Canis lupus familiaris: one gene and its partners. The protein of the gene in region 4 interacts with the protein of the main gene of each other region in a biochemical or structural test. Links are inferred from orthologs where the notes say so. Each region holds a gene or a part of one and is shown on either strand. Other genes may lie near its edges.

Evidence for each region.
Region 1: of the proteins of MAPK3 (region 4) and PTPRJ, one has a biochemical effect on the other in vitro, tested with the Homo sapiens proteins (2 studies listed by IntAct, with this or other methods). The link is inferred for Canis lupus familiaris from reciprocal best matches to the Homo sapiens genes MAPK3 and PTPRJ.
Region 2: of the proteins of MAPK3 (region 4) and DUSP3, one has a biochemical effect on the other in vitro, tested with the Homo sapiens proteins (2 studies listed by BioGRID and IntAct). The link is inferred for Canis lupus familiaris from reciprocal best matches to the Homo sapiens genes MAPK3 and DUSP3.
Region 3: of the proteins of MAPK3 (region 4) and ELK1, one has a biochemical effect on the other in vitro, tested with the Homo sapiens proteins (6 studies listed by BioGRID and IntAct, with this or other methods). The link is inferred for Canis lupus familiaris from reciprocal best matches to the Homo sapiens genes MAPK3 and ELK1.
Region 5: of the proteins of MAPK3 (region 4) and GAB2, one has a biochemical effect on the other in vitro, tested with the Homo sapiens proteins (2 studies listed by BioGRID). The link is inferred for Canis lupus familiaris from reciprocal best matches to the Homo sapiens genes MAPK3 and GAB2.
Region 6: the proteins of MAPK3 (region 4) and HDAC6 form a complex in vitro, tested with the Homo sapiens proteins (2 studies listed by BioGRID, with this or other methods). The link is inferred for Canis lupus familiaris from reciprocal best matches to the Homo sapiens genes MAPK3 and HDAC6.
Region 7: of the proteins of MAPK3 (region 4) and SREBF2, one has a biochemical effect on the other in vitro, tested with the Homo sapiens proteins (2 studies listed by BioGRID). The link is inferred for Canis lupus familiaris from reciprocal best matches to the Homo sapiens genes MAPK3 and SREBF2.

The regions. Positions count from the first base shown.
Region 1 is NC_049239.1:42,054,501-42,058,371, forward strand, and holds part of PTPRJ (receptor-type tyrosine-protein phosphatase eta), read right to left. Parts: intron 1,628-3,871; coding exon 1,379-1,627; intron 69-1,378; coding exon 1-68. UniProt on the Homo sapiens protein: Tyrosine phosphatase which dephosphorylates or contributes to the dephosphorylation of CTNND1, FLT3, PDGFRB, MET, KDR, LYN, SRC, MAPK1, MAPK3, EGFR, TJP1, OCLN, PIK3R1 and PIK3R2. Plays a role in cell adhesion, migration, proliferation and differentiation.
Region 2 is NC_049230.1:19,403,296-19,407,740, reverse strand, and holds the end of DUSP3 (dual specificity protein phosphatase 3), read right to left. Parts: coding exon 4,257-4,445; 3' UTR 833-4,256; downstream 1-832. UniProt on the Homo sapiens protein: Shows activity both for tyrosine-protein phosphate and serine-protein phosphate, but displays a strong preference toward phosphotyrosines. Specifically dephosphorylates and inactivates ERK1 and ERK2.
Region 3 is NC_049260.1:41,469,994-41,474,605, forward strand, and holds the start of ELK1 (ETS domain-containing protein Elk-1), read right to left. Parts: upstream 3,063-4,612; 5' UTR 2,913-3,062; intron 1-2,912. Other genes in the region: protein UXT, read right to left, coding at 4,290-4,343, 4,550-4,612. UniProt on the Homo sapiens protein: Transcription factor that binds to purine-rich DNA sequences. Forms a ternary complex with SRF and the ETS and SRF motifs of the serum response element (SRE) on the promoter region of immediate early genes such as FOS and IER2.
Region 4 is NC_049227.1:18,278,489-18,283,052, forward strand, and holds the start of MAPK3 (mitogen-activated protein kinase 3), read right to left. Parts: upstream 3,115-4,564; 5' UTR 3,101-3,114; coding exon 2,928-3,100; intron 1,914-2,927; coding exon 1,731-1,913; intron 1-1,730.
Region 5 is NC_049242.1:20,532,529-20,537,012, reverse strand, and holds the start of GAB2 (GRB2-associated-binding protein 2), read right to left. Parts: upstream 3,172-4,484; 5' UTR 3,109-3,171; coding exon 3,034-3,108; intron 2,377-3,033; exon of another isoform or gene 2,046-2,376; intron 1,799-2,045; exon of another isoform or gene 1-1,798. UniProt on the Homo sapiens protein: Adapter protein which acts downstream of several membrane receptors including cytokine, antigen, hormone, cell matrix and growth factor receptors to regulate multiple signaling pathways.
Region 6 is NC_049260.1:42,219,327-42,223,197, reverse strand, and holds part of HDAC6 (histone deacetylase 6), read right to left. Parts: intron 1,844-3,871; coding exon 1,717-1,843; intron 1,611-1,716; coding exon 1,545-1,610; intron 1,453-1,544; coding exon 1,393-1,452; intron 1,295-1,392; coding exon 1,205-1,294; intron 861-1,204; coding exon 754-860; intron 657-753; coding exon 589-656; intron 361-588; coding exon 195-360; intron 88-194; coding exon 1-87.
Region 7 is NC_049231.1:24,434,224-24,438,094, forward strand, and holds part of SREBF2 (sterol regulatory element-binding protein 2), read right to left. Parts: intron 1,732-3,871; coding exon 1,539-1,731; intron 902-1,538; coding exon 720-901; intron 1-719.

The DNA of each region.
Region 1 (3,871 bases), on a different chromosome or scaffold from region 4:
GTCAGATTGAGACACAGAGTCAGTGGGGGTCGTGGACTGCTGGGAGGAGCTCTCTGTGCTGTTGGCATCTGTTCCAAACACAAGAGTCAAATACATTAACTTCAATCAAAAGCGCCTCCCTGACAAGAGGACGCATCAGGCAGTGCCCACAGCTAGTACTCCACAAATTCTTCCCTTCCTTCCCCCGAGAGAGATACAACATCCTCCTCAAAAGGCCTCAATTTTTGGCAGATATTTTACTTTCTACTTTTATCCCAGGTACCACCAGATATCTGTGCTTCTCTTTCCAGCTCAGCTCTTTTCCGCTCTTCCCCTTCTTTCAGGAAATCTTCTCCCACCCAACTCTAAACATGGTCATCCAGGGACAGCCACATGACTCAAACCTAGCTGATCAGAGCCCGCTCTAGGAATTTCTCCCCTGGGCCATACCCCTTCTGATAGAGGGTAAAATGGGGAACCTATTGCTAGGTTTCTCCCTGAGGTGAGTGGAAGGAGCTGCTCTGAGAATGAGGCTGGTACAGAAAGAAGGAGGAAGAGGACATGGGAGTCACCTCATCTCCTTCCTACAGGCCTTACTGTCCACTGTGGGAAAATAGGTACAAGCCAATAAGTTGCTCTTCTGGCCCAAACTACTTAAAGTCTGGCTTCTAGAGGTACCTGGTGGCTCAGTGGTTGAGCATCTGCCTTTAGCTCAGGTCGCGATCCCAGGGTCCTGGGATGGAGTCCCACACTGGGCCTCCCCACAGGGGAGCCTGCTTCTCCCTCTGCCTAAGTCTCTACCTCTCTTTTCTCTCTCTCTGTCTCTCATGAATAAATAAAGAAAATCCCTTTTTTTAAAAGTTTGGCTTCTGTCACTTGCAGTCAAGAATCCTAACACCCACTGTATAGCTGTTTCCTTATGTGTAAAATGGGGATTAGGTTCTTCTCAATTCACCAGGTTCCCTCTGAAAATGCTTAACATCTGCAAATGGCCACTCCATTGGCAATGCAGTAGATGTCTGCTAGAAGTACTTGCTAAGCATCCCTTTTCTCAATGGATGTGGCAAGTTCCTCCCATAGCCCTACTCGAATTAACACATCTGTTATTCATTCTGCTGAAAGTTCATAAAGCTAAAGGGGCCAGCTCCTCTCTGGGATGCCAGACTCAAAAAGTTCCAACCCCCATTACCGTTCTGAACCCCAATGATCTGACCTGTAAAAGAAGAACATACCCCACCTTCTTCATACAAATGTAGGGTCGCACCAAAATGTGAAGGAAAGCCCTCTCTATAAATTCTAAAATCCTGGACAAATAGAAGAATGATATTTCTTCAAACTATGATGTTACTGAAAGGCAAAGCCAGCAAGGCAGATAAGAAGCACACTTTTGTAAACTCACCTAAGCTACTATTTATAACCGAGGACTCTCTCTGTTCATTCGGGTCTGAGAAAGACAAGGTGAACTTGTTTCGAGTTCCTGGTATCAGGCCTGAGATATTGACCACTGAGTCTTGCGTCAAATCCTTACTACTTCCGATGCTTTCAAGGAGCAGCCGACAGGTGGCAGTGCCATTGGCATTCTTCCAGGTAAGAGTAGCTTGCGTGAAACCCAGGAGGGCAAGATGAAGACCAGAAACTGGACTTGGTTCTATTTTAAAAACACACAATGGGCATTGATGGAATAAGACATTTGCAGTCACTCCTCACAAAGAATGACTGGGGTCACTGATATTTTTCCATATGACCCGTTAAGAATATTTTCTTGATATCAGGGTCCAGTGCAATTTCATCATTTCACAGCAGGAACAAATATATATAGCATTATGGAGAAAAGAAGACACCTAGGAGCCAAAGATTTTGAGGGTCTGTCCCACTCCCCTCAACATTCACTTCAACAGTGATTTGACACTCTTCGAAACAGTTTTCAAAACTGTCAAACAGCAGCATTGAATCATCTTTGTTTTGGGCATTGGGAGCAAAGCTCCACACAAAGTGATAGTTTGCTACTTCTAAAGGTCTCAAGTCAAGATAATACAAATCGTATCATTTCATAGCACCCGGACATTTCAACTGAGGAGCTCATCCCTGTATTCCAACCCCAAAGGGGTTCTTCAGAATGTCTCCCATCTACCCCCCACCACTCTTTTCATCACTTTATTTGGCTGGCTGTGACATAAACCAGACATTTCAGCCAACATGATGTCTGCTCCCTTCATTCTAGAGAGGGCAAGGTAGAAACACAGAGAGGCGGAGTGACTGGCTCAAGAACACACATCACTGGTGGCGTCAGGGAAATCAGAACCCAAGGCTCCAGCTCTGAGCACATGTACCACCAGCAATGTTGGGGATTCAGTAAATCCCTGCCTGAGGTCTGCAGGGCTGAAGTGGAAGGTGTGGCTGGCTCTAAAGCAAGTTAATCCCCTCCTGAAGTCTACTCTTCACATCAAACATCTTGGGCGCCAAGATTTCTAAATGGGATCACTCCTGTGTCCTTTTTCTTTTGGAAAGAAATGTAACACCAAAAAAGTAGTCAGCGAAAGGACCTGGGGTAACCAACTATTGCCAGCTTCAGAGTTGCCTAGTACTCTGAAGCCAGGCCCCCTGGGTTCCTACCACTTCATGCTCAAGAACTGAGCCCTCGAAGAATCCCAACTCCTTGGCATTACAGTTTTTCACTGTGGCCCTTGGGGTTAGTGTGAAGACAGTACAATGTATAAAGAGCAACTGAGCACATAGTATGTGCTCAATAAATAGTAGCTGATGAACAAAGCCTTGTCCCAGGGAGGTAGGTCCTCCCTCAGGTAGAGGGAGGACACTCAGCTCCTGGGAGCTTCTTGCTCCCTCTCCACCTCCACTTTCCTATAGCCACCAATCCTGTGTAACCTGATCTCCATCGCCATTGCTAAAGTCTTCTTTTTCCTCCTTCACTCTCTTTATCTTCTCCCTGCCCTCTCCTCCTGTTCTTCTCTCTTTCATAATATAGCAAGCCTCTATCATAAGAGTTTTGTTTTTGTTTTTGTTTTTGTTTTTTTGCCTCAAAAACTCTTCTCTGAGGAGCTCCAAGAGTTTTTTTGAAGGTACCTATGACACCCACCCCCGTTGCTCCTCTCTCTCCAGTTCTTTTCACTTATTGGGCTTCTGGGCAAGATTTTATTATTTAAAGAAATTGCTAAAAAAAAAAAAAAAAAAGAAATTGCTTCCTGGCTTTAAAAACCTACTGAAAACCCCTGGTTTGGTTTGCTTGTTCCATGTGCAGAAGGTGCTATGCTAGGCAGGTGGTCACTTCAAACCATGGGCTCCAGGAGGTCAAGCTTCTGTGGCCCTCACCAGCCAAAAAATTACATCTCCAGATCAGAAAAGCAACAGAGGATCTCGTTTATAAATTTTTGCTTCTTTTCGATTTAAAAAGAGCTTCCCGTCTTTTCTTTATATTTTTAGTTCTTTCCAGCTTAAAGAAAGAGAGAGAAAGCTAAATTTGCAGCTATAACACGTGGCTAAGGGTACTGACATCTAAGCTAAATAAAAATTTCAACCTTACCAAATGTCACAGGGCTATTACTTCATTTGAAACACACACTCCTCAAAAAGTATACCAAACTTTCAGGCCCAGAAAGAATTCCTGAGAATATAAACCAGCATCAACTTTCCTGCAGAGGTTAAGAGAAGCCTACTAAGTACTGACACCATCAAGAACATGTCTAATGAAAAAAAAAAAAAAAAAAGAACATGTCTAATGAGGTCTCTGTTCCCAAGCCTTAAGAGAAAAGTAAATATTAGCCAATAATAGCCAAGGATTTTTAAGACTGTCTGTTGGGGGCAGCCCCGGTGGCTCAGTGGTTTAGCGCCGTCTTCAGCCCAGGGCGTGATCCTGGAGACCCGGGATGGAGTATCA
Region 2 (4,445 bases), on a different chromosome or scaffold from region 4:
TTGTTTTAAAGATTTTATTTAGGGGCGCCTGGGTGGCTCAGATGGCTCAGCATTTGCCTTTGTTTCTGGTCATGATCTCAGGGTCCAGGGATTGAGCCCCATGTCGGGCTCCCTGCTCAGGAGAGTCTGCTTCTCCCTCTCCCTCTGGGATCCCAATGTGGGACTTGATCCCAGGGCCTGGAGGTCATAACCTGAACTGAAGGCAGATGCTTAAGGCAGACATTTAATGGACTGAGCCACCCAGGTGCCCAAGAAAGAGGTTTTTTTGTTTTTTTGTTTTTTTTCTGTCAGGGAGAAAAGGGACCGAACTCTGAGTCTTTTTATTCAGAGAAAAAAAAAAAAAAAAAACAGTGCTTATTATAAGGGAGATAAATGCTAATAATAATGGAGTTTAAGACATCTGAGGGCAGGGCTAGGTTTGGGGGCTGCCCGTTTGCAGGATCATTCAAACTCAAAATGCAACCTAATCATCTTCATGTGAGGCCACCATGAGACTGTCATCCCTAGTATCTCCTTTCTTAGGAACATAAATCTACTTCCCTCAACAGGATGGGGCTCTCTATTCAAGAATATTCCAGTCAATTATCCCTCAAAAAAGCTGCAATTTTTTTTTAGAAATTAAATAAATAAAAAGATTATTCTTGTCATGGGAAATTTCTGGTACTGGCAAGATGTTTAATCAACATCTACCGTGTAAATATAATCATCATGGAACTGAGAACGTGTTCGGGAGGGCTAATTTTTAGTTGACGCTATTTTTAAAAGTTAGAAAAAAGCAAACATAAGAGCATAAAGGAAAATCAGCTGTGACAAGAAGGATAAAAAAGGCCGCTTCTATGTAATGTAAGACATTTATTTTGGTTACAGTTAGTGTTTTAACACTGATTTGTGATACAACAGACATTAAACTTACTTTCCTTTAAAACCAATTTAATACCTTCCGCTTTTCTATCCAGAAAACTCAATGCTTTCACAATCAAATTGCCCTGAAAGCTGACAGGAGATAAGTTAAGCTTTCAACCACTCTGCTCTCTCAAATGGAGAGGGGCTCTATTTCCAAGCAGGATAAAATCTTGACTTGGCGAGACCAGTACTGTTGGCTCTTCAGCGGGTCCTGACACCGGTCTTATGACAAAATCTCCCGAGAGGAAAGCTCCTATCTTCCTATTTTAAGATCAGTGCTTATTTTGATTAAAACATTAGCATCTTAACATTAACTTGTGACACAGAAGGCACCAACATTCCCTTTCAAACCATCACCACGGGTGGAACACAGTGCCACCTGCTGGTCATCATATTACATACCCTATGATTTCCAGGTGGTGGTAAATTCCAGGTGGGGATTCTCCAGAGAACCCTACAGAGCCAAAGGGACCTTAGAGGTCTTCTAGAGGAGTCCCCTTGTTTGACACATGGTGATCTCTGCTCTCCAGATCACTCAGAGTGGCAGGGAAACAGACCAGCCTGTGGAAAGTGTACTGCTTTAGATTTGAGAAGAAAACCATTTGGTGCTCTAATTTCACCTAAGTGGGGGTCTGCTAGTCAAAGAAAGGGATCAGGTCAGGGGAGAGGGTAAGGGCACCCTGAGTTCCTATTCCATCACCTCCCAGGGTGTAGAAAGCTGTCCAGAGACAGCTTCCACTCGCAGCTGGGCATGTGCTGGCTCTTACAATAGAATTTTATTTTACTCAAAAATTAGGAGCTAAATCTCATGAAGTAAATATAGGGTTTCTGGGACCAAAGACTACCAAGAAATCCCAAGTTATCAGCATAAAAGTAGTCCCAAAGTAAAGGCAGTAATTCTCCCAAGCGCCTTTCCTCCCTCTTGCCCCCACAAAAAGGACTTCAAGAGGTCCTGGTTAACTAGTCTAAGTAGCTGTGGCAGCTACCCTGGGGGGTGACCACTGCTTAAGTGTGGGAAGGGGAGCCCTAGCCCTAGGGCTCTTCCAGCAGTAGAACAGAAAGCTCCAACTTAGGGATGTTTCCTGGAGGAAGAGCCACATGTCACCTTCCTACTCACCACAGCCTGGCTGGTTGTACTCCATCCACAAAGTTATCTGGCTTTTGTGCACACGGGCTGGGTCAAGGGCATGTGCAGTGCACCTGGACACTCCCAGGGGCCTCCTTTCTTGAGGAGAGTAGTATGGGACAAGGAATTCAACTTCAGGGAGCAGCAAACTTGGAGCTGGGACAGCCCAGGCACCATGTTTTCAACCAGTTGGAACCCTAGTTTCTTTTTCTTAAAAGGTAACAATACATGAATAAGCTCTACCAACTTGATAGGGTTACTGAAAGGATCAAGTGAGTGTGAATGGGACAGTTCTCTGGGAACTGTGAAGTGAGGTACACAGGTCAGAGGATGGCCATTTCATTGAGGGGGGTGTATGTGGGCAGTCCGGTATCTGGAAGAGACGACAGATCCTAGTTTGTTCGGGGTGGCTGTGGTCACAGAGGCAGGGGAATGTCCAGGCTGTGCACTGCTGACCCTGCGGCAAGAGAGGCTATTACACCTCGGAGGGAGGCCCTGCGGCACCCTGCTTCTCCCTGTCTAGCCAGAAGCCCCTGGTCAACTCTGAAAAAGGCACAATCCCCACCTCAACAGGTTAATACTGCCTGAATTTAAATTTAAAAGTGAATTTTATATACCTAACAGAAGTCCTTGGCTTTTCGCTTCTGGTAAAATCCCTTTTGCAAATCCTTGCAAGTGATCCTACCACGAATTCGGGTTTATGGGAGCTTGATACACCCACCAGAATACCACCCTGCAAATATCTGGTGCTCAAAAGAAGTGTTTTATTCTGGAAACTTTTTTAGACCTCTGCGTGCTAAGAGCTGGGGGTATGGCTGAGGACTACCTCTCCGTCAGGGAACCTGAAGATGATAGGAATGCATCACTTTCCATGGTGACAATCATCTAAAGTCCTAATATGACTGGGTTTCAATCAAAACTCCTACTTTCTGACAAATGTGCGTGCACGTGTGAGCGTGAGTGCTAGTGCATTCTGACATCATCCTTTAAAAGTCCTAAAAAGGGTTGTTCTGGTTTCTTTGCTCTGCCACCAGCCAAGTCTCCATTCGGATGCTCCACTGTGTTTCATTTCTGCCTGGCTGAGTCATTTTTGCTCCCAGGGCTCCCAGATCTTTCCTGGCACGGCAGAGCCAAAAGCACTACCTCTAAGTGGGCGGGGTGAGAGCCTGCTCCTCCATCCTCTGGCTGTGCTTCTGAGACACACACCCCCCTACACACCCACACACCCACATTGGAATTGGCTAACTCCCTCCTTCTGTCCTTGAAATAGCAACGGAGACAAAAAGCAGTTAGCACGAGTGGCTTGAGCTCACCAACGCTATAATTCAGGACAAAACCTTTGCAATTCTTCAAATGGTGGGGTTTTTAAATAGGCTGGAACTTCAACACCCTGTTTTCTAAAAAAATAAAATAAAATAAAACCACGCCTGAGGCATCGCTCTTCTGAGAGCAGTCCAGGGGAAATATTCCAAAGCAGCGAATTCTGAACGCAAGCCTTCCATAGGTTCACATTTTAACAAACCTATGGACTTACAGGAGTCCTCCAGGGGAATGTCTGCCCACCTGACGGCCTCTTTGTTTGGGTCTCTTTAATCCCACTGAAATACTTAAGATGCAGTCTCTTCATGGGAGTTTCCACCCACTAACAACTGCTGGCCGGGGGACCAGCTTCAGACCTCACAATGCGCCTCTGCCTATGAGCAAAGTGTGGGCAGCTGGGAGGAGCCGGGGGAGACAGGCACGGAGGGGAGAGAGGGGCCTGCGTTTGCATAGTTCCCTTACAGGGCTCGAGGTGCTGAGGTCCCCACTCAGGAGGGGACCCCAGGGTGGGGCGTAGGGAGCCAGAGAGGGAGGCAGGGGGGCCACGGACATCAGGAGGGGCCCCACTGGGCATCTCGAGCCTTATCCTTCCACAGACCTCCTGCCTTGGGTCATCCAGGAGGAGCATGTATGTCACAGGCCTTCCCCCTCCGTGCCCCACCTCAGGGAGAAGACATCAGAAACTGTAAGCCCGGGACACACCGGAGAGCAAAATGCCTTCCTTAGCAAGCTTCTTTATACGCTCCCCAGGGGGGAGGTGGCCCAGGGCTGTGTTGGGACAGACTTGTGGGCAAGTGCCTGGTGATGCTGGGAGCAGGGTACACTGTGTTTCCTAAACATGGCGGCTTGGGACACCTCGACCAGGGCCTCCCCTGTCTGCCGCTAGAGAAGAGGCAGCGGGAGTGCCCTAGAGTTTCAATTTCCCCTCCTTGACTAGTTTGTCATTGAGCTGGCATAGCTGGGCCAGGAAACCATCGTTGGGGCCGATCTCACGGTTCTGCCTCACGATGCTCAGGGCAGACTTGACATCCATCTTCTGCCGCATCATGAGGTACGCGATAACTAGGGTTGGGGAGCGGCTGTAACCTTCCCGGCA
Region 3 (4,612 bases), on a different chromosome or scaffold from region 4:
CCTCTCTGGGTCTGTTTCTGCATCTGTAAAATATCTTCAAAATATACTATTCTTAATGGCTTTTGCGAGGATCTAGTGTCAATATATATAAAGGACTTAGAAAAGTATCTCTGGCATGTGGTAGGCACTCGACAAATGTTAGTTAGCTCTTAGCTTGTCTATCAGCCTTCACCCTCCCACCAGCCTCCAACCTTATGTATCACCATGGCCTATACCATCTGGGTCCCATCACCGCTCTGACCTTGCCTCCTGCTTGCTTGCCTGCCTGCCTGCCTGCCTCCCTCCCGCCCTCTGCTCTGCTCCAGCCACACTGGCCTCCTTCACGTTTCTTGAATGCACTAGGCACAGTCCCACCTCAGGGCCTTTGCACTGGCTGTTCCTTCCACCTCCAGAACACTCTTCCCCTAGATATTTTGTCTTCCTCCCTGATCTCCTTCAGGCCTTAACTCAAGGGTCACCTTCTAAGTGAGGCCTGCCCAGTGCCCAAGATTTCAATCACTCCCGTACTCTCTCCCTGTCTTCCCGACTTCACTTTCCTCCTTAGCGCCTAACATACTATCTAATTTTACTTACTGTTTTATTTATATAGTCCGTCTCCCCCACTTTTAGCAAACGTCTGCTCCACAAGGGCAGGAATTTCTGCCTGTTCTGTTCCTTCCCATATCCCCAGCACCTAGAAGAGTGCCTGGTACTCAGTAGGTGCTAAGTGTTTGCTGAACGAACAGTCCCAACTAGTTTCTTTAGCTAGTTTTCGTATACCCTCTTCATCTCCAACCCTTCCCTCCCCTTGCACCCTGATTTGTCTGAAATAATATTTTTCACCTTCATGCATGCAACAAATTCTTATTGAGCACCTAGTATATACTAAGTATATTTACCCAGCAGTAAATAAGCAGACAAAAAAACTAAACCCTCATTGGACTGACTGTTCTAATGGGGAGGGACAGTGAACTGGTAAACTACACAGTGTGTCTGATAGTGATGAAGGGCAAAGGGGACCACTACTGCAGAGAAGGAACCTGAGTCCTGTTAAGTATGTAGGTTCAGATGATCAGGGGCAGGCTGACATTTGAATAGAGCTCTGAAAGGACTCACATACAGATCAGGGGAACGACGTTATTCCAGGTAGAAAATATAGCCAATGCACAGGCCCTCAGGCTGGGCTGTATCTGGCGTGTTTGATTTGAGGATGAGTGAGGAGCTTTGTATGGCTGGAACAGAGTCGGAGGGACAAGGTGCAGGAGGTGCAGCCAGAGAGGTTACTTGTCTTATTAACTCTCAGATATGTTCACACTGGAGGGGATTCTGGTTTTGATGCCTCCATTTTACAAATGAGGAAGCAGGTGCGGAGAGAAAGTGGTTAAATCACTCAGATCATATGGCTGCTGCGATTGCGGGTGGATGGGTGCTGAGAAAAAGTGTGGAATGGAGACAGCTCTGCAGGCGGGGGGGAAACTAGCAAAAACAAAAGCTTGGAGACGGGAGGTGCTTTGTTTTTTAAGGAGTGGGGTCTCATGTGGCATGGGATGAAGTGAGAAAGGGGATCCTCAAAAATTATTCTGTGTTCTGAGGGGCAACCTAACTGGGTACTTACCTCTGAATAACGTATTGAGCCCCTTGTGCCGAACTTTCCTGAGTACCTGTCTCACAGGATTGTGGTGAGGACGAAATGAGGTCATGGATATAAAGCACTTTGCCAGGTACCTAGTAGGTGCTCAATAAACGTTAGCTCCTAATGGCATTATCGCTATCTTGAATGCATCCGTTTATTGCAGTGAGGCAGAATGTCTTAGGGATTAATGATGTGTACGAGGGGGATGTGTTCTAGAGTAAAAAAGAGCCAGGTTCAACAAGCACACAGGATGATCCACCATTAAGAAGAGAGGAAGCAGGGAAGGCCATGGACTGATCCACCACAAGGAAAGGAGGGACAAAATAAAAGCACCCTCCTGGAGAAGAGATTACAAAGCACTGGACTCAGGGGAGGGTATGGGGGTGTGTGCCTGGATGCAAGCACATGGGGAACAAGAAGGCCAATGAACAGATCCACTGCAAAGGCGGGGGTGGAGGGGAGTGCAAAGGCTCATCTTCTTTATGGGGGGCAAGGGGAGCAGAAAGGCATCTACTCTGCACAAGAGTAGATGGGGTGAAATGCCATCACACGGACTCATTAAAAGGAGAAGGGAACAAGGCCATGGAATGAGCTACTGAAAATGGGGAGTTCAAAAACACGAAACTGACCCACTATTAAAAGGAAGAGAGAAGCCCAAGGGCTGGAGAAACAGTCTGAAAAAAAAAAAAAAAAAAGAGGCTAGGGCAATGGGCTGATAACGACAAGGGATGTGGATACTAGCATTCAGACCGATACACTGTAAAAGATAAAACCATGGGACTGATGCACTGGGGGACTGGAGGAGGCAGGAATACAACTTCACAGATTAACTCACTGTTAAAGGGGGTGCGGGGGGGGTGCAACACGCCATGGACTGATTCACTACAAGGAACAGAACTACAAGGCCACAGACGGGGCCCTTGAAAGTTGAGGACAGGAGAAAATAAACAGTCAGATGCACCTTCTGTCAAGGAGGGACAATGCCCGAGGCTGCTCCCCTCTAAGTGGGGGTGGGGGCGGGGCAGGACCACGGACGAGTCCACTGTAAGGTGGGGTGGGGAGAACTATAAGCACGCAGACCGATCCATTATAAAACAGGAAGGGGGGTCAGGCCACGGTCAGATCGACTACAAGGGGCGAAGGGAGGGGACAATACCACAGGCAGGTCCACCAGCCGTGGCGGTGGCGGTGGGCAGTTGAACACCAGCAGGCCATGGGCCAAGCCACATCCCTCGCGCGGGGGCGGGAAGGATACGTGGGGTCACGGACGGGCCCTCCACCCTCCAGGCCCCGGGCTCACCTGTGTGTAGCGCAGTGGCAGTATTGGCAGCTCCGGGGGGCGGGGGCTCCATGCGCAGCCCCACCGCCCCCCAGGCCCGGGCTCCGAGGTGGCGGTGGCGGCGGTGGCGGCGGTGGCGGCGGCGGCGGCGGCGGCACCTAGAAGCCGCCCCTGCGTTTCCTCACGGCTCACGTGGGCCCCTGGAGGAGGAGCCGAGCATTCCGCGGCTGGTTGATTGGACACAGCGCCTTGGCTCGACCGCGCGGCTTCCAGGGTTGGGGAGGCGGGCCCTGCCCCGCAGAGCTAGGCCATGATTGGCCCGAGGAGAACTGATGGAACGCAGATAGCCGCCTGGGTTCCGAGGGGGCGTGCTGGGCCCCGCTGGCGCTTCACGCTGATTGGCCCAAGGCTGACAGCCTGTGGGCGATTGACAAGATTCTGGGGGCGCCTGCCTGATAATAATTGGCCTGCATGGAAGACGGCCTCCGAGGATAGGGGCGGATGGACTCTGCTTTCTACTGATTGGCGGACTAGGGACTCCAGACAGCTGCCAAAACACCAACTGGGCGGTGCTGCACTCCACGCTGCTCAGCGGAAGCGGGACTTATATGGAAGTGGGCGTAGCGGCAGGCTGGGAGGGGGTCGGGCCAGGACTGTGCGTAGGTGGGAGGATAACTCTATCGTGATTGGGTAGAAAAGACGAGTTTAGGACAGAGCAGAGATAGGGTTGGACAGCGGCCAGGCACGCAAAGGAGCGTTGAGTGGCGGAAACTAAAGCCTACGAGGAGGTCAGCGTTGAGCCTCAGCCAGTTATAAGGGGGCGGAACCTGGCTCTGCAATGATTGGCGGAAGCTAGACTCAACCTAAAATAGGGGCCGGCCGGGGTAGGGCGGGATCAGGCTCTGCGCCCATTGGTGGAAGCTGAAATTAGTTAGAAGCCGGGTGAGGCCAAGGTTGGAATGAGACGGGCGTGGGTGTAATCTAAGGTACCCCAGTAATGATTAGGGTGGGGGAGAGGGGCAAACTTTAGGGCCAGGAATGAAAGGCTGATTGTCTTGGGAACAAACCTCCACCCTGAATCAGCCCATTCTCTATGATTAAGACAGTTACGTCCAGGAAGATAAAAGGGTCAGGTGGGAGGCCCAGGTTTCCAAGGCGACAGAAAAGAGGGCAGTGCAGAAAGTCAAGTGGCAAATGCTGCCAGGCAACAGGCTGGAGGCGGGACTTCAGGGGTGCTTTAAAGGTTCCACATAGAGACTGGCTCTCTGGGGTTCCTGGTAACTTTGTGCTTTAGAAACAGGGCACCTTAGCAAACAGCAAAGGGTTGAGGTGGGGAAAGAAGGGCCATGTGACTCAAAGGCATTCAGGCTCTTTAATGTCTACGGAGGCGGGAAGAAGTCAATAGTGAGGTGTCTCCGGGAAATTCTGCAGGCCTTGTAGTTCTCTAAGCCCCTGAAAAAAAGGATAGAAGAGATTGAACAGAGATTGTCTAGGCCTCAGCCCAGGCTTGCTCTGACCTCCCCTCCCTCAGAGCCAGCCTGGTTCCTGCTTAGAGAGGAAAATGGTCCTTCCCATCCCTGGCTCTCTCCCTTCGTCGGGTCACACCACCCTGAATACATTTGGAGACAGAGTCTGGGAATGGGGTGAGGTACTCTCACCTCTAGCAACATGTGGATATGGGCCTTGATATTCATGGAGTCCTTGGTGAGGCTGTCGCTGAG
Region 4 (4,564 bases):
CCATATCATGAGCTGGACAAGGCCCAAGCTCAGCAGTTGGGCTCAGGGCCTCTTGCTGCATTCTCGGCTGGCACCCCCTGAACAAAAGTACTTCCATTCCGTGGCCTCTGTTTCCTTATTGGGAAAAGCAGGGATGATAAACTGCAGGAAGCAGGAAAGCTTCACGGTTAAGAGCAACCACTCTGGACTTGTTTTGCTGGTGGCCAAACCCCCACTCCACTGCTCATTGGCCTCATGACCTCAACCCATCTGCACCTCCATTTCCTCATGTGGAAAGCAGGGGAGAGAGAGTGGCTCTTTGGAAAGCAGTTATGAAGACTCAGTGAGGTGACCCATGGAAACCAGCCGGCCCAGTCCAGAGCCTAGCATGTTGTAAGTGCTCAGCAAACATGAACTAGTGTTGCTATGATAAATGCCTAAGCCACATGGCTGTTGAGAGGGTTAAATGAGATAGTGTGAACACCATCTGGCATGCAATAAATGTTTGCTTAAAAATAAATGCCTGCCTTATGGGGAATGGTTTGGGCAAGACAAATGAGGAGAAACTCCCAACAGCATGCTCCTCCTCAAAGAGTGCCTGGCCATACATCAGAAGATGGAAGAGTAAATGTCCTTTGGTATTTTAAGAGAAAACAAAGATTAAACATACGTTAAGTAAATAAATAAATAAATAAATAAATGCCATTTGGTTGCTCTCTGAAAGAATAAGTCAGGGCTGTCTTTTAGAATCAGCCTTGAAAGAGCCTTCTGAAGACACCTGGGCCGATTATGCTGTTTGAGAGGTGAGGAGGCCCAGCAAGATGCAGTGACTTGCTTAAGGTCACACAGCAAGCTAGTGGCGAGTGTGGAGATTTCCTGCCCACAGCTTGTGGTGGGGGCTGCAGACAGTGCAGCACAAATCCCCACATTTGGGTGGAGAACTGGGACTGGCTGGGGGTGGGTAGGGTGGGGAGAGGTGATGGGTGCTATAAGCTGCTAACAACAGGGCCTGACAGGAAGTGGACGACAAGCTAGGGAAGCAATGTGGGGGGGGGAGGGCAACAAAGACAAGGCTGTCCCTCCCTGGGCGAAGTGCAAGTCCACAGGTGACTGGGGTGAGGCTCTGAGCAGGAAATGTCAGAGAAAGGACAGTTCTCATCTGGGGGAGGTTAGGAGGCAGCAACAGCAGCACCTGATTTGGGGCTTTCTGAGCCTCAGTTTTCTCATCTTTGAAATGGAGCTGATGAGACCCATCTCATACAGCAGCTGGGAGGTAGAATAAGAAGTGTCAAAGCATTTGGCGTGCACTGCACCTCACTCATAGTAGGCCCTTCAGAACGGGCAGTTTTCTTCCTTCCTGCCTTCCTTCCAGTCTGCAGACCCAGAGAGGAAAGAATCATCATCTGTTAAACAAGAACTGTCTGTGGGCAGAGGCTGGGTCACGTCACAGAAATGCAGATGTCAAAAGACAAAGCTCCCATAGAGCCCAACTCTCACCCTCCCCCCAAATGAGGCACAGCATGGAGCACAGACTTGCCCAAGGCCACACAGCCTGGTTACAGCAGGCCAGGATTCACCTCAGGCCTCCCAGTCCTCTTACACTCTGTGGTCTCTTTTCTGCTGGAAAGTTTCATTTGCTGGGTTTGTTTTGGAGTGTGGCAGGAAAGAAGGAAACAGAAAGAAAGCCAACGTTCTCCCAGCCCGGCTCTGAGGCTATGCCTAGCCAGCCATCTGGCCAAGGTGAAGGATACACATCCCTCATGGCGTCCAGGGTGGGCGCCCGCAGAATGTCCCGAATGCCAATGACGTTCTCATGGCGGAAGCGCAGCAAGATCTGGATCTCCCTCAGTGTGCGCTGGCAGTAGGTCTGATGCTCAAAGGGGCTGATTTTCTTGATGGCCACGCGAACCTTGCGCACGTGGTCGTAAGCTGAGCTGAGAGGGTCAGAGAGATGTTGTTGGTGTGGCCTTACATAGGGGGAGTCCAGGCCTGGTGGCCCTACCCAGGCCTGAGCAGGGAGGGGAGGGAGCATGAGAGGACTCTGGCCAAGTCATAAACAATGCTGGTTCCTTCCTGCTGTGAAGGCCTGGGATCTCCAGGGAGAAAGCTGGGGACCAGCCAGGCAGCCCTTCGGTGACTTCACAAACAGAGGAAGAGACTGACCGTTCACTGACTTCCCCTCTCCTCAGCCCTGTCCATTCTAGTTGCCCTGACCTCTCATCCTCCCCTCTCCAGGCTGGGCTCCTTCAACCCAAGACAGGTCCAGGGAGTGGGAGGTGAGTGCAGGACGCACAGTGAGGCACAGTGAGAAGGAGGCGGTCAGGAGGGATGGGAAAGAAGGGATGAGGTGTTAGGGTCAGGCACCTGGGCAGGAGAGCTGTTCCCAGATGAACAAAGGCCCAGAGCACACAGTGGGGACGAGAGAGCTAACAGACCCCTTCTAAAAGTTGCAAGAACGCACCCCTGGACCCCTCATGGGTCACCGGGCTCCTGGCCCCAGGCCCAAAGCCCTGCCCCACCCTGCCCAGCCCTGAGCTCTGCTCTCCCCAGCTCCTTGGCAGGCCTCACTGGGAGAATCCAAGGCATCCTTTCCCCAGAGTAGGGTCCTTCACTCGGTCCTCACTGATATCACCTCCCCAAGAATACTTCGTGTCTCCGCCTCCTCCCGCGTCCACAGAGTCCCCAGGGTCCCCCCACGGCTCCCCCGCGGACACTCCGATGCCCCTCCCTTCACTACAGAATGGTCGCTCCTGAGGCCTCCCAAGCCCCCTCCCCTTAGAACGTAGGCGGCGCCGCTCCCCCAGAGCACCCCAGGGCCGCGCCGTGGGACGCCCCGCCGGCCTCGTGAAGCCCCCGCCTCCTCGGGACCCTGGGAGCGCCCCGGCCCGAGGGCACTCACCCTCGCGCGCGCCCCCCCACGAGCCCCCTCCTCCGGAACGCCCCCTCACCTGACCATGCCGTACGCGCCCTCGCCGATGTAGTGCAGCTCCGTGTAGCGCGGGCCCACGTCGAACGGCTGCCCCTTCACCACCTCCACCTCCCCCGAGACCCCCGGGCCGACCCCATCGGCTCCCCGGGGCTCCCCGCCCCCGCCCCCCTGAGCCGCCGCCGCCGCCGCCATCTCCACTCCTCCCCTCCCGCCTCCCCGCCTCCCCCCGGCGGCCCCGCCCGAGGCCCCGCCCCTTCCCGCCCGCCCCGCGCCCCGCGCCCCGCGCCCCGCCGCCGGCTGAGCCGCGTGCGCCAGGCCCCGCCCCCGCGCGCCCCCGCGCGCCCCCGCGCGCCCCACGTGACCCCCGCGCGCTCCCGGGCGCCCTCGGCTGCTGCCCGGGTCCCCGGTGCCCGGCCGCTCCGTCTGCTGCTGGCAGCCCGTAGGGACGAGCGCGGCGGCCGGGAGACGGTGCACCCCTCCCGCCGAATGCAGGCTATAGCCGGCAGGGCCGCCAGGTGACCTTCCCGGAGCCACCCAGCAAGCGGGTGCGGGAGCTGGGGCCGGGACCGAGTCGCCTGGCCCCGCCAGCTCTGCTGCCAACCGAGTCGCGGCCCGGGGCTCGAGATGGAGCCCCAAGGGGGCCCTCCCCAGCCCTCTGGAGTGTGGCCTCCGAGCGAGGCTCGGCCCGACGACACACGGCCGCATCCGCATTTCCCAGTAGCGTGGGAGATGGCTTCTTCGCAGATACGGCCTGCCTTTCACAGATGAGGGGCCGAGGCTGGTGACTTGGAGCCACCGAGAACCCGCAGGTCCAGACTCAGCCTAATGGGTTTCTGACAGGCCTGCGAGAGTGGACTAGGGGCTTGGCCTCTTGCCAGCGACAGTACAGTGCTGGAAGTGAGCACCCATAACCTCAGCCCATTTAGGTGGAACTGCAACAGAAGGGCGGGAAAGCTGCCTGCAGTGTTGACCAGGTTTGGTTAAAATACACTATCAGGCTTCTCTCAAAAAACAGCAAAATAGGTGACGATTTTGTTGTCATTGGACTTGGTGAAACTGGAATCCTGGCAGGATCACCATCTTTTGATGGGATGCAAGATTTTGTAGTTTACACCATACTTGGACCAGCTGGGTTTCTTCCATAGGACAACCGCACATTATAGGTGTCCTCCGATTTTCTTAACAGGATGAGCAGGGGCCATGTCTGTCTTGCTCATTACTGTATCCTCCCCTGTACCTGACGCTCAGACGTTCAAAGATTTTTGACTGGATAAATCAAATTGTATGGATGGGGAGTTGAGACTTAAAATGATATCTTTTGACACAGAGGCAGAGGCTCTTTTCAATTCCATTCAATCTCCCAGAATCAGAGCCTGTTAAAACCCAGGAAAGGGCCCTCCGAGGCCATCCAGTCCATTCCCCTCACTTCACAGAGAAGCTGTGAGCTGGACGCTTCACAAAACACATCTCCTAGCCTTCAGTAAGTAACCACGTTGGGTTTTGTTTGTTTGTTTGTTTTATAATCCCTTAGAAGCTAAGAGTAGATCCTTATGTGCATTACAGATCAAGAGACCAAATGGAACAGTAATTATGATTCTGAAATTGCTCATAATTAGATCTACAGCCAGGCACTCTAATTCAGATTAATGAGACTGA
Region 5 (4,484 bases), on a different chromosome or scaffold from region 4:
TAAAAATAAAGTCTCCTCGGTGCAGTTGTTCATTAGAACCAGTACACAATTTTCTCCAAATAGTCACTAGAGGGCAGTGTTACTACCAATCTTTTCCCCTAAATCTATTGAAACTAATAGAAAATTACAGAGCAGTGTAAGTCATAAAATGTTTTTCTCTGAGAAAATCTGGCTTCAGCCGTGTGTGTGTGTGTGTGTATGCACACACACTCATATATAGGCATACTACAGCACGATGGGAGGGCTGTTCCTTCTGCTGGCCTTGCACTGCAAAGATATCACCATGGCCCAGAGGCAACACTCACCACTTCCCAGAGGTCACTTTTTGTAATTACCCCAATGTTCAGAGCAATACTGAATAGATCCCTACATTTTCTTATGATTAATTGGAAAAAAATGATGAAAAAAAATCTCTAAACCTGATCCCAGGTAATATTTGCCATGGCTTCTTTTAAATGGTTTTCCCCCTTAAACCTACCTTCTCCTCACATTCGAGAGAAGTTTTTAAAATTAACTATAAGTAGCTGCAATCCATTTCATCAGCTTCTTTTGTCTTTACCTCTGATGGTTGACATATTCTTACAATGAAGACTTATTGATCCATAATACCACATACCTATGGTATACATGAGAATAAGCAGCTATTTTGGGGTGTGTGTTTAGCAACAGAGCTGGAAATTACTTGCCTCCTAGATTGATTCTAATGAATAATCTGGGTCTCTAAATGAACACAGGGAACTGGCAAAGTTCTAACTTAAAACAAGGCGCAAAAATTCTCCACTCGCAAAAAGAAAATAAGATGTAAGGGTAGACTCTAACCCCTCGAGTCTGGGGTTAGGTAGATCGGCTCAGTTTCAACTAAGAGAATTGAACTACCACAGTAGGGGAGACTCCAGGCATACCAATAGAACACATCACCCCGAAGCCTAAGAAAAGCTGTTACTAGCTTGATCAGATGTCTATGGGCTAGAGCCACAAGGAGGATGGGAAAGAGGCTGAGGTCATCCTATGACTGTAGGGTGTCAAGTACTGCAGATGGGTGAAAAAGATGCTTGACTCCAAAGCCTCCAAACTTGTTTTTTTGTTTGTTTTTGTTTTTGTTTTTTCCTGAGGTAAGTTGCTCGAGAACAAAAATACCAAACAAATGGGTCATAAAGAGTCTGGGTGATAGAGTTGGAGTAGTCATTGAACACAGATAAGGTGTCAGACAGTTTGCAAACTGTATCAAAAACAGTTTCAAGGCTCTTTAGGGTAGTGTTCTAACTTGAAAATTAACAGTCACATTTTCACTGGATACTCTATTCCACCAGTCGGTAGGTTAGTACACTTTTGCTAATAGTTTTCAGAAGCTCAAAGATTTGTTTCATTAAAAAAAAAAAAAAAAAATATATATATATATATATATAAACATTAATAGCAAATTACTCATCCTTAACATTATATAAAAATTCACGTTTCCTAATGAGCTGATTGTGAAAAGGGGAAAAATCTCTTTCTTAGTAATCGTATGGAGTTCGGCTTCCCAGGCATCCCCGAAAAGTGGGCTTTAGAACTGGGGTGAACACTTGACTGCCTCCTCCGTGCTGCGTTTTGAATCTCGGTCCACTTTCAAAAGTCATTGTTAAATTCTTAAGAGTCTTCTCAGCAAGTGATTTAAATAAGAGCCTGCTTTCATTTACATACACACACATTTGCACTCCCCAACAACACTTCCTTTGAAAAACAGAATGTCACTTCCTCAATCCAGAGGCCAGAAGTCCCTCCGTTCTGATCTGGGGAGCCAAGACAGGAAACTCTGGTAAGCTTCTGCCTCTCCCCCCACGGACAGCCCCTGGTGCAGCTGACCGAGGGGAGGGGAGGGGAGGGGAGGGCAGGGCAGGGTCTACTCCGAGCTCCCTTGATGCACTGCAGCTGGAAGGCCACAGCTCACTTTCATGCTGTGGGAATGATCCCTGGGAGGCCAGCACCCAGAGTCGCTGGAAACAAGGGCATTTCATAGGAAGTGGAGAGGGCGCCCAGGGGAGACCTTGACACCTTTTACCGACCTTCCACTTCCAAACGTCTGCAAGTAGCCCAGGGCTGATTTGTAATTAGCACCATCTTGTACTTTGACCCCGGGAGGCACCGCCTGGGGAGGGGGTGGTGGTTGGCCAGGCTTCCCACCGGTCCGCTCCGGACGGTACCGGTACCACCTTCCCTCGGACGTCGCCAGTTTCTCCCCCAGAAGGGAGAGGCTGTCCCAGCAATTTCGGTAAACACCGTCGGTTACCACCACCTGGCAACGGAGCGCCTCGATTTCTCCCGACCCCGGGCACCGGAGGCCGCACAAACCCCGGCCGCTTGCACCAGGCCAAAGTGCAGTGTCACCCCCGTGGGGTGGGGTGGGGTGGGGTGGGGTGGGGTGGGGGTGTATGTGAGAGACATACAGAATAAAGGGAAAGACGGGGGACAAACAAATGAGTCACTTAATACAGGCGCTGCACATGCCGCTGACGCTGCCCGTGATGCAGAGGCTGTGCCCTGGGAGGAAGCAGGCGCCCCCGGGAGAGGCGGGCAGAGACAGGGAAGGGGGAAAGGGTGTGAGGCGCCTCGCCCTTTGTGGGGCCGCCCGCGCCCGCGCCCGCGCCCCCTCCCCCTCCCCCTCCCCCGCAGGCCGGGGCCGCCGGGCTTGCTCCGGTCCCCCGGCCCCGGGAACCAACTCTCCCGGGCTCCGAAAACAATCAATGCAAACTTCAACACCCTGTTTAGTTTACGGGGAGGCCGGCTGGGAGGTGCCGCCCGGCGGAGAGGGAGCCGCAGCCTCCACCTGCCCGGCCGCCCGCTCCGCCCCTCGGCCGCGCACCTGTGACAGGTGTGCAGGTGCCCCACGCAGCCCCAGCCCGCAGCCTCCACCTGCCCGGCCGCCGCCCTCCGCCCCCGACAGCCCGGCCCCCGCCCCGCCCCTCCCGGGGCCCCCGGCCCCGACCCCGACCCCGGCCCCGGCCCCCGCGCCCCGGCCCCCCGCGGCCGCGCCCGCTCGCCGCTCGCACTCACGTAGCGCCTCAACTTCTTCTCGGGGGGCGATTTCCTCAGCCAGCCCGTGCACACCACGTCGCCGCCGCCGCTCATGCTGCCGGCCGCCTGGAGCCCGCCGCGGGGTCGGCCGGACAAGGGCGCGGGCGCGGGCCGCTGGGTCAGCCGGCCGGCGGTGCGCAGCTCCGGGGGAGGGGAGGGAGGGAGGGGGAGGGGAGGGGAGGGGGCGCCCGGCGGCCGCGGGGCGAGGACGAGGCGGCGCGGCGCGGGCCCGGCTGCCCCGCGCGCTCCCGCCCGCCCGCCCCGCGCGTCCCCGGCCCCCGCGCGCCCCCACCTGCCCGCCCCGCCCGCCCCGCGCGCCCCCGGCCCGGCCCGGCCCCCCGCGCCCCCCGCCCCGGCCTCGCGCCCCCGCCCGGCCGCCCCGCGCGCCCCCGGCCCCCGCGCCCCCCGCCCCGCGCGCCCCCGCCGCAGCAGGGAGAGGGCGGCGCGCGCTCGCCACGCCCCCGGCCGCCGCGCCCCCCTGCGGGCCGCCCCGGGGACGCCGACGCCGCCGGCCGCTGGGGCCCGCGAGGCCCGGGTGTGCTCCGCCGCAGCCCGCCGCCGGCCGCGCCCCGGGGTCCGGCTTCCCCTCGGCCCCGAGCCCCGCCAGCCGGCGAGGCGCCGCGCCCCGGGGGGCGGGGAGGGGGGCGGGGAGGGAGGGGAGGGGCGGGGAGGGGGCGGGGCTGCGCGCCCTCCGCCGCAGGCCGAGTTTCCCTGGGGGTCGGCAGGCGGGGGACCCCGCGGCCGCTCGCGTCTCCGATCCATCCCGAGTCTCGGGTTTCAGCGGGTCCGGTTCTGGCAGAAACGGGTGCTCCGCTTCCCAGCAAGAGTTTCATGAACTCTCGCACCCCCGGGCGGGAGCAGCAGAGAGCACAGTGTTAGGGGCCCGGCGCCTTCACGCGCCTTGTTCACAGGGGTGTCTCCGCGAAGCTACCAACTGGGCCAGGAGCTGCGCCGGCCGCGGCATCCCCACTCCGCGGAGCCCAGTCAGTCCCAGGGCCTGTGCGACGGCCGGGCGAGCTTCTAGGCCGGGGCCGGGGCCGGGGCCGGGGCCGGGGCCGGGGCAGGGGCAGGGGCCGGGGCCGGGCTTGCTCCTCTGCTATTTAAAGTGGGATAATTGCTTTAGTGTCTACACATCGACGTGGGGGCCTCTTACTACCAGGAATTAAAGTCCAGCTGGCTCCCCGCATTGCCTCTGGGAAAACGAATTCAGGAGAAGAAAATTCGTGTGATGTAAAGAATCGAAGCAAAAATGAGTCCGTGTATTCGTAGCGATTTGGAAGGCAAGGTGGTGCAGAACGAGAAACTACGGCCAAAACTCCCCCGAGTTCCAACTCGCTGACACAGGTTACAAGACTTCTTTGGGGCTCCTACGAAAACTGGAATCCAGCGATACTTCTCTCGCCGCGTTGTGATGCGGTTTAACTGAAATA
Region 6 (3,871 bases), on a different chromosome or scaffold from region 4:
GGCAAGGTAAGGCAGCGCCCCGCAAGGCCCAGCTCTTCCAAACGGCGCATGATCCGAAAGACTCGCTGAGGCATCTCTGGGTGATGGCTGGGTTTGGGGTGGGGGTGGGCAAGGAACAGAGACAGGGCTTAGTGCTTCAGAAAGGTGGGAGGAATGTCCCTGTCCATTTAGCCAGTGGCCCTCCAACTGCATACTTGTCCCACAAGTTGTAGTGACCCATCATCCGCTGGTCATAGACCAGCCCTGTGCGAGCCTGCAGCATGGGCCACGTCAGAACTGGGAGCACTGAGGGCTGCCACGGTCTCTCCTCTTCCTTCTCCGCCTTTTCCTCCTCCAGGATGTCCTCCTCCAGGGCCTCAGCTGTAAAGGGAGGCCGTTTACTCTACTCCCCGGACCTCAGATCCCTGTAATGCTCTGGAACTCAGTTTACCCAAACATAAAAGAGGTGAGAGGCCTGAAACCAGGGTCCAAGGCGAGAGAGGGCCTGACGCTCCCCTACCAGGAAAAGTCATGCAGGGTCTGGGAGAGTCTCTCTCAAGGGCTCATTTCATGCTTGACTCCCCACCTAGCCCCCTCCCTGCCTCCTACCTGATCTCACAAGGACCTCCCAGAAGGGCTCCAGGGCTTCCAGGGCGCAGAAGAGTGACGCCTGGGCACTAGAGGGCAGGGGAGGGGAAATGTGATCAGATGGCCAGTGGGCAGGCAGTACGGGTCCCACTTTTCTCCTCCTCCACCCTCCACTAGGGTGCTCACCTTGGGCAGGGGGCACTGGGAGACTCCAGGATGGGGCAAGGGTCTCCCAGAAGGGTGTGGAGTGAGGCGCTGACACCTTCAGCCAGGGCGCGGAGGTTGTAGCCGCCCTGGGAAAGGAGTGTGGGGGGCGGGGATCAGGAAAGAGCCACGCATTATGAAGGAAGAACAGCAGTAATGCTACTAGGGTGCTGACTACACAGCAAGCAACAAGGAAAATGAAGGCTGACTTCCATTTCGTTCACCAAACAGTGCAGGGAGGCAATCACCATAGTTATGATGCCCATTTTGCACAAGGCAAGTGGGGGTACAAGTAAGTTCAGTGACTTAGATGAGGTGGTCCAGCTAGTAAGCAGAAGGGCTGGGACAGACTCCTGCCTAACCTGAAAGCTTTGTTCTAATGTCCTCCTGGATGGATCCATAGACGGGCTGAGACTTGAAGGGAGTCACTCACCTCCAGAGATAGGATCAGCTTGCCTCCTGCCAGACCCATGAGCAGGTGGGTTAGCTGAGCGAACCCTGCCGGAGTGGTGGCCATCTCACCCTGGGTGGGGGTAGGGGGTGTGGGATGTGTGTGGAGGATCAGCCTGGCTCGGTGCAGCCCCCTTCTGCCCACGTACCATCCCAGGCAGCCCACCTTACCTTGGGGTCCCCTTGGAGGGCATCAAATCCAGCGGCCACCAGGACCAGCTGGGGCTGGAACTGAGGGGGAAAGGGACTACATGAGGCCACTTGCCCTCACGGCCCATCCCTCAACATTGTTCCTGTCCCAACACACCCCAGACCCCCAGGACCTCAAGGGCGACTGGCAGAAGGAGGCGCAGGAAAGCAGCAATGTAGTCAGCATCTCGCATCCCCACCTGCAGACAGAGCAGCACAATGGAGACATTCTGCCCTCTGCCCCGAAACGGGCTGAAGGGCAGGGTGGGGCCTGACTTTGGGGGTGTAGGGCGGGCAGACGCTGACCTGGTTCCAAGGCACATTGATGGTATATCCCTGGCCTTGGCCAAAACCTATGGTGGACCAGTTAGAGGCCTTCAGGTGGGGCCAGAACCGACCCTGCTCATAGCGGTGGATGGAGAAATAGAGGACGCTGGAGGCAGGGAGGGGGGAAAAAAGAGGTGGGGGCAGTTGAGAGTCAATGCCCCAGACACCCCAACCCACAGCACCCAGCTGACTTGGCCACTCATTCATTCTCTCATCCATTTCCCCACTAACTCCTTAACTCTCACATCCATTCATTCTATTTAGTCACCAACTTATCCACCCTCCCATTCACGAATGTTCCTGTTTCTCCATCACTTCACTCATTCGTGCACTTTCTCACTGGCAAAAACACAGGTATCCTCTGCCTTTCTTTCTCTGTCTCTCATGAATAAATAAATATAATTTTTTTTAAAAAAAGGACCTCAGGGGGTGATCCCAGCGTCCTGGGATCAAGTCCCACATAAGGCTCCCTGCAGGGAACCTGCTTTTACCTCTGTGTATGTCTCTGCCTCTCTGTCTCCCATGAATAAATAAATAAAATCTTAAAAGAAAAAAAACCCACTTGGTACTCTCCTCAGTGCTAGCTTGGGAGACCCTGACAGTGATGGGATCTAGCCCAGTCCCCAAGGTCTTCTGACCCAGCAGGGGACTCAAAATCATACCAGCCTGCCCCACGGGCCCCCGTGACCAAGGTGGTGATAGCAGGACAGATTCTGTGATGTTTGAGACCCAAGGGAGGCATACGGCTCTTAGCTGGTAGGAGCCAGCTAACGTAGAAAAGAGCAGGCAAGGCTGGAGAGCCTAGTGCTTCCCCTGAAGGATGTGGGGAACCTTGAGGGCTAGGGCTTAGGGGGCATGAAATTTGTTTCTGTATATGTGTGGGGGTGGTGGCTGAGGCTTCCTGAGGCCAGTGAAGGGGCCCTTCCTTCTCTCCAGTACCTTACAGGGCACCTCTACTACTTGTATTTTGTAGGTGAGACACTGAGCACTCAGGGCAGTGAGGACAGAGGATACACCAGAGAGACACAGAACAGACCCTGAAAAGGCACGAAGGTCTATGTTCTGATAGAAAGCCCAGCAGGAGGCTGTAGGAGGGCTTAATTCTGATGAGGGCAATCAAAATGAATAATCTTTCCTCCATCCATCCATCTGTTCACTCCCTGTCTTGTTTAAGAATTTTTTAAAAACTTTTTAAAGATTTTATTTATTTATTCATGACAGACACACAGAGAGGCAGAGACACAGGCAGAGGGAGGAGCAGGCTCCATGCAGGGAGCCCGATGTGGGATCCCGGGTCTCCAGGATCAGGCCCTGGGCTGAAGGCAGTGCTAAACCACTGGGCCACCGGGGCTGCCCCTGTTTAAGAATTTAAGGCAACAGTTTTTATCTTTCTTCAGAGAAATGCAAGGAATAGCGGTAAGCAATGAATCTAAACCAACTTAGTCACATTTTAAAAAGTGCTGATAATGTGGTAGTGAAAATTGATGCAACTGATATAGATTCTTGAAATCCAAGAAAAACACCTTGGAATCGAGCAATGAAACCCATGCAAAAGTTCTGATCTTGAGTAGGTGGGAGATAACTGTTTTACTTTTTTTAAAAGATTTTATTTATTTGACAGAGAGAGAGACAGACAGACAGATTACAAGCAGGGGGAGTGGCAGAGGGAGAAGCAGACTCCCCACCAAGCAGGGAGCCTGACTTGGGGGCTCGATCCCAGGACTCTGGGATCATGACCTGAGCCAAAGGCAGATTGCCTAGCCGACTGAGCCTCCTAGGGGCCCGACTGTTTTACTTTTGACTCTGATAAATATCAGTTCTAAACTTTTTTTTTTAAAGTAAGTTAACCAGTAGAGAAAAAGAAAACCACAGTGGAATATAAAGATGATCATCAGGGGAAGAAAAGAATAAAGAAAATAGTCGAAGAAAGCCAAACTCATGACAGCCACCAGAACCAGCAGAATGAACACCCAAGGAAACAAAGCAAACAGCAGGAGGGTTATTATTTTTTTTTGCTTGCTTGTTTGTTTAAAGATTTATTTATTTTAATTTGGGAGAGAAAGAGTATGAGTGGGGAGAGGGGCAGGGGAGAGGGAGAGAGAGAGAGAGAGAATCTCAAGCAGCATGGAGCCCA
Region 7 (3,871 bases), on a different chromosome or scaffold from region 4:
GGCATGGCTTACAGTTCCAGGCTGGTCAGTCTGGTTCTCTCTGGTGGCCATGGCATCCTGTAGGAGGGGAGAGCCGGCCTGTGGTTTACTGAAACTGAGGACTGTTCTGGCTCTTGTTTCTCTGAGATGTGACGTTGAACTCTTCTTTCGATGCTGTGAGTTGCCCCAGAATCCTTCCTATAAATTCTTTGTTGATTTCAACAGAAAACTTTCAGCTAATTTTTCTGCTCAAAAACCTTCCTGGATTTCTCCAGAGAACTGGGAAAAAAGCCCAGTTACTTCGACTACTAACTCCAATTTGGGCCAGAGATACAATATCAGCCTGAGACCTCATTTGTCCCAGATATATCCTGCACTCTGGACATACCTGTCTACCTGCTGGTCTCCAAGTACCCCATCTATTCATGACTTCTCCACCTAGAAGGTCCTTCCTGCTTCTGACCGTGTGGCTCAAGCCCCAGATCCTCTTGACCAGAACTCGTCCCTTCTGTCTGAACTCCCGTAGAACTTTACTTTTCCTCTGTCATAACCCAGACTATAAATTGATTATCTCGTGTTCATGCAATAATTTACACATAGAAGTCCTCTCCTCTGCTGCCTATGACCATCAGGGGCCAGGTCCCTTCCTACTCTTATCACCCACAAGCACCTACCACAGGGCATATTTATATACCAGGGTATTCGATATAAGTTGCTGAGTTATCAGCTGCAGAACTTACCCTGGCGAGGTCCAGGTCGGCCTGCTTCCGGTGTCTCCAGAAGGTGACTGAGGAGCGTGAATGTGGCCGGATCACTGGCTCTCCATGGACCAGCAGCTTCACAAAGACGCTCAGGACAATCACACCATTTATCAGCCATAAGAGAAGCGTTGGCATCATCCAATCAAACCAGCCCCCAGAACCTAAAAAGGAAGGTCTCCACTGAGCCCATGAGGAACGGCCTCCTAGAGCAGCCCTAGGGGACTGCAGGGCATCTGACTAACCCCCAGCATTTAACAGGTTAGAAGCCTTCTACCTCATTTTCAGAAGTGTGTGTAACAAGATTGCTTCATTTAGTAACAATGTCTAAATGCTTTCCATAAGAATAAGACATAACCTTAATCCACACAATAGGCAAATCTGGAACAGTTCTGTAGCCTAAATAGGAGCCCCGTAGCCCCTATCACTATGGAACTAGGTACCATAGCTAGATAACAAAGATAGCAAAAATCACCGTCAATCAAGGTGGGTTTGATTAGACCACTGATTTCATGACTCGGACAAAAATATCACATCTCCTTCAAATAGGTACCCTCCCTTCCCTTATCCCCAACCCCTATAATAATAGAAGTGTAGGTTCCTGATTTCTTCTGTTCTTACTGACGGAGCTTGGGTGTGCCCTGTTACTTCCAAATAGGGACTTATGCCAGTCCCTATCAGGCCTGCTACAAAAGCCCTTTGGAACCTGGTGGATAAGCTGAGCAGTTTGTACACATAGGGCCCATCTCCTGTCACAGCTGCCCACCCACGCTTGGGTGGTACAAGGGGTCCTCTGCCTACCTGACTCAAGTGACAGGATGCTGCGGCCAGAGCCGGAATATGGGTGCTGGTCAGAGCTGTGGGCCCCTCCCCACTGCAACAGGGCAGTCAGGGGGTTAAAGGAGAGGCAGAGGAAGGTGAGCACACAGAGCAGAATCCGAGAGCGGTCCACCATGCCCAGCGCCACGGGAGGAGAGTCTGGCTCATCTTTGACCTTCAAAACAGGGCCAAGAGGTTGGAATTAAATACTGCATGGGTTTTTATAGCATTTTGCTTTTATATGAACTGGAGGCAGACCATGAGATTTAAACTTGAGACTACAAAGTCAGACGGGAGGGCAGCCTGGGTGGCTCAGCGGTTTAGCACTCACTGCCTTAGCCCAGGGTGTGATCCTGGAGACCGGGGATCGAGTCCCACATCAGGCTCCCTTCATGGAGCCTGCTTCTCCCTCTCCCTGTGTCTGTGCCTCGTTCTCTCTCTCTCTCTCTCTCTCATGAATAAATAAATCTTAAAAACAAACAAACAAACAAAAAAACCAAAGTCAGACAGGAAAAGCATGGGACACAGGTAAGAAGCCCATAGCTCTCCCTCCGACTGCTTCTCAGACACTGGAACGCTCATCCTCTTGCCACCTGGGAAAAGAATATGTTCCGAAGACCAGAGGGAGAGGAGTCCTGTTTATAAAGGAGAGCACAAAAGAGAACGTTCTGCAGGATTCTGTTTCTGTTTGTTTTTTTTTTTAATAAATGTTCAATATCTTTTTTTTTTTAAGTTTTTAAAAAAATTTTTATGTATTTATGATAGTCACACACACACACACACACACACACACACACACACACACACACACACACACACAGGCAGAGACACAGGCAGAGGGAGAAGCAGGCTTCATGCAGGGAGCCCGACATGGGACTCGATCCTGGGTCTCCAGGATCATGCCCTGGACTGAAGGTAGTGCTAAACTGCTGAGCCACCGGGGCTGCTCTTCTGTTTCTGTTTAATTCCATAACAGGCAAGCTAATCTAATCTAAAGTGACGGCAATCAGAGCAATAGCTGTCTGAGGCTGGAGAGGGGTGTGGGAACTAACTGCCATGGTGTATGAAGGAGCTCTGTGGGTGATGGAAGTGTTCTATATCTTGATTATAGTGATAGTTATATATGTGTATACCCTTGCTTTTCAAAACTCCTCATACTGTATGCCACTACTTCATGCTACTGTAAAATAGGGGTTTTATCTCATGTAAATTAAACACCAACAGACCTGATTAAAGACCATACAACTGGGGTGCCTGAGTGGCTCAGTCAGTTGAGCGTCTGCCTTCAGCTCAGATCATGATCTCAGGGTCCTGGGACTGAGCCCTATGTCAGGCTCCCTGCGCAGTGGGGAGTCGGCTTCTGCCTCTCCCTGCAACTTGCGTGTACTCTACTCTCTCTCATGGTCTCTTCTCTCTCTCTCAAATAAACAAAATTTTTACCAAAAAAGAAACAAAACAAAACAAAACAAAAAACCATACAACTTCAGTATGGATCTATTTACAGGAGTTTGCCTGTGGTAAAACCAGGAGGCTGCTTTTCTTCCCATCCCCGTCCTACAGAGGGAGGACTGGAGAAAGGAGCCCTGTCTGCCCAGGGTGCCCAGAGAGAGAGGCAGGGAGGAAGGCTGGAGCCAGATCTCTCCCAACTTCCAGTGTGCACATACTACACCACTCCTTTTCAGTATTTTAAAGCCATCTGAAAATTTCTTCTGATGACAGATGCCTAGCTAATTCAATGTATACATCATATGGCCTTCTGTTACCAAACAGAATCACATTTACAAAGTATTTCACAAACAGAGCTTCGTCACTAAGATTAAGAACATGATACTATAAACAGTTTGATCAAAAACTCAGGCTAGAAGGGAAGTTTGTGCTTTTGAAGTTAGAAATTGCCAGTGGCCTCCACGGGTTCCCAGGACTACTAGATCATTAGGCTTGAGCCTCTATTGGCTAATTCCATTAAACCACAATTGCCAGGGGCTTTCTTTGACGATGAAAGGCCCTTGGCTGGAATGTTATTTGTTAGACTGGAAACTGTAATCATTTCCAGAAGAGGGCCCAGAGGCAGCCTTGCCCTAAACCAACCGAGCAACATCAAAAAATGGTCTTGCCAGGCCCATTATGAGTGAGGGATGTAATGAGGCGCCTCCGGCAACTCCTAGCACCCGCATGACAGCTGCTGTGTGTTCCCATTCTGGATCTGGCCCTTATTCCTCTCAGATGGGCTCTTTCAGCAAGGACCAGTTAAACTGGACTACACTGAACCAGTTAAGTGGATTTTGTGGGGGACACAGTAGGACCTAATTTCACAG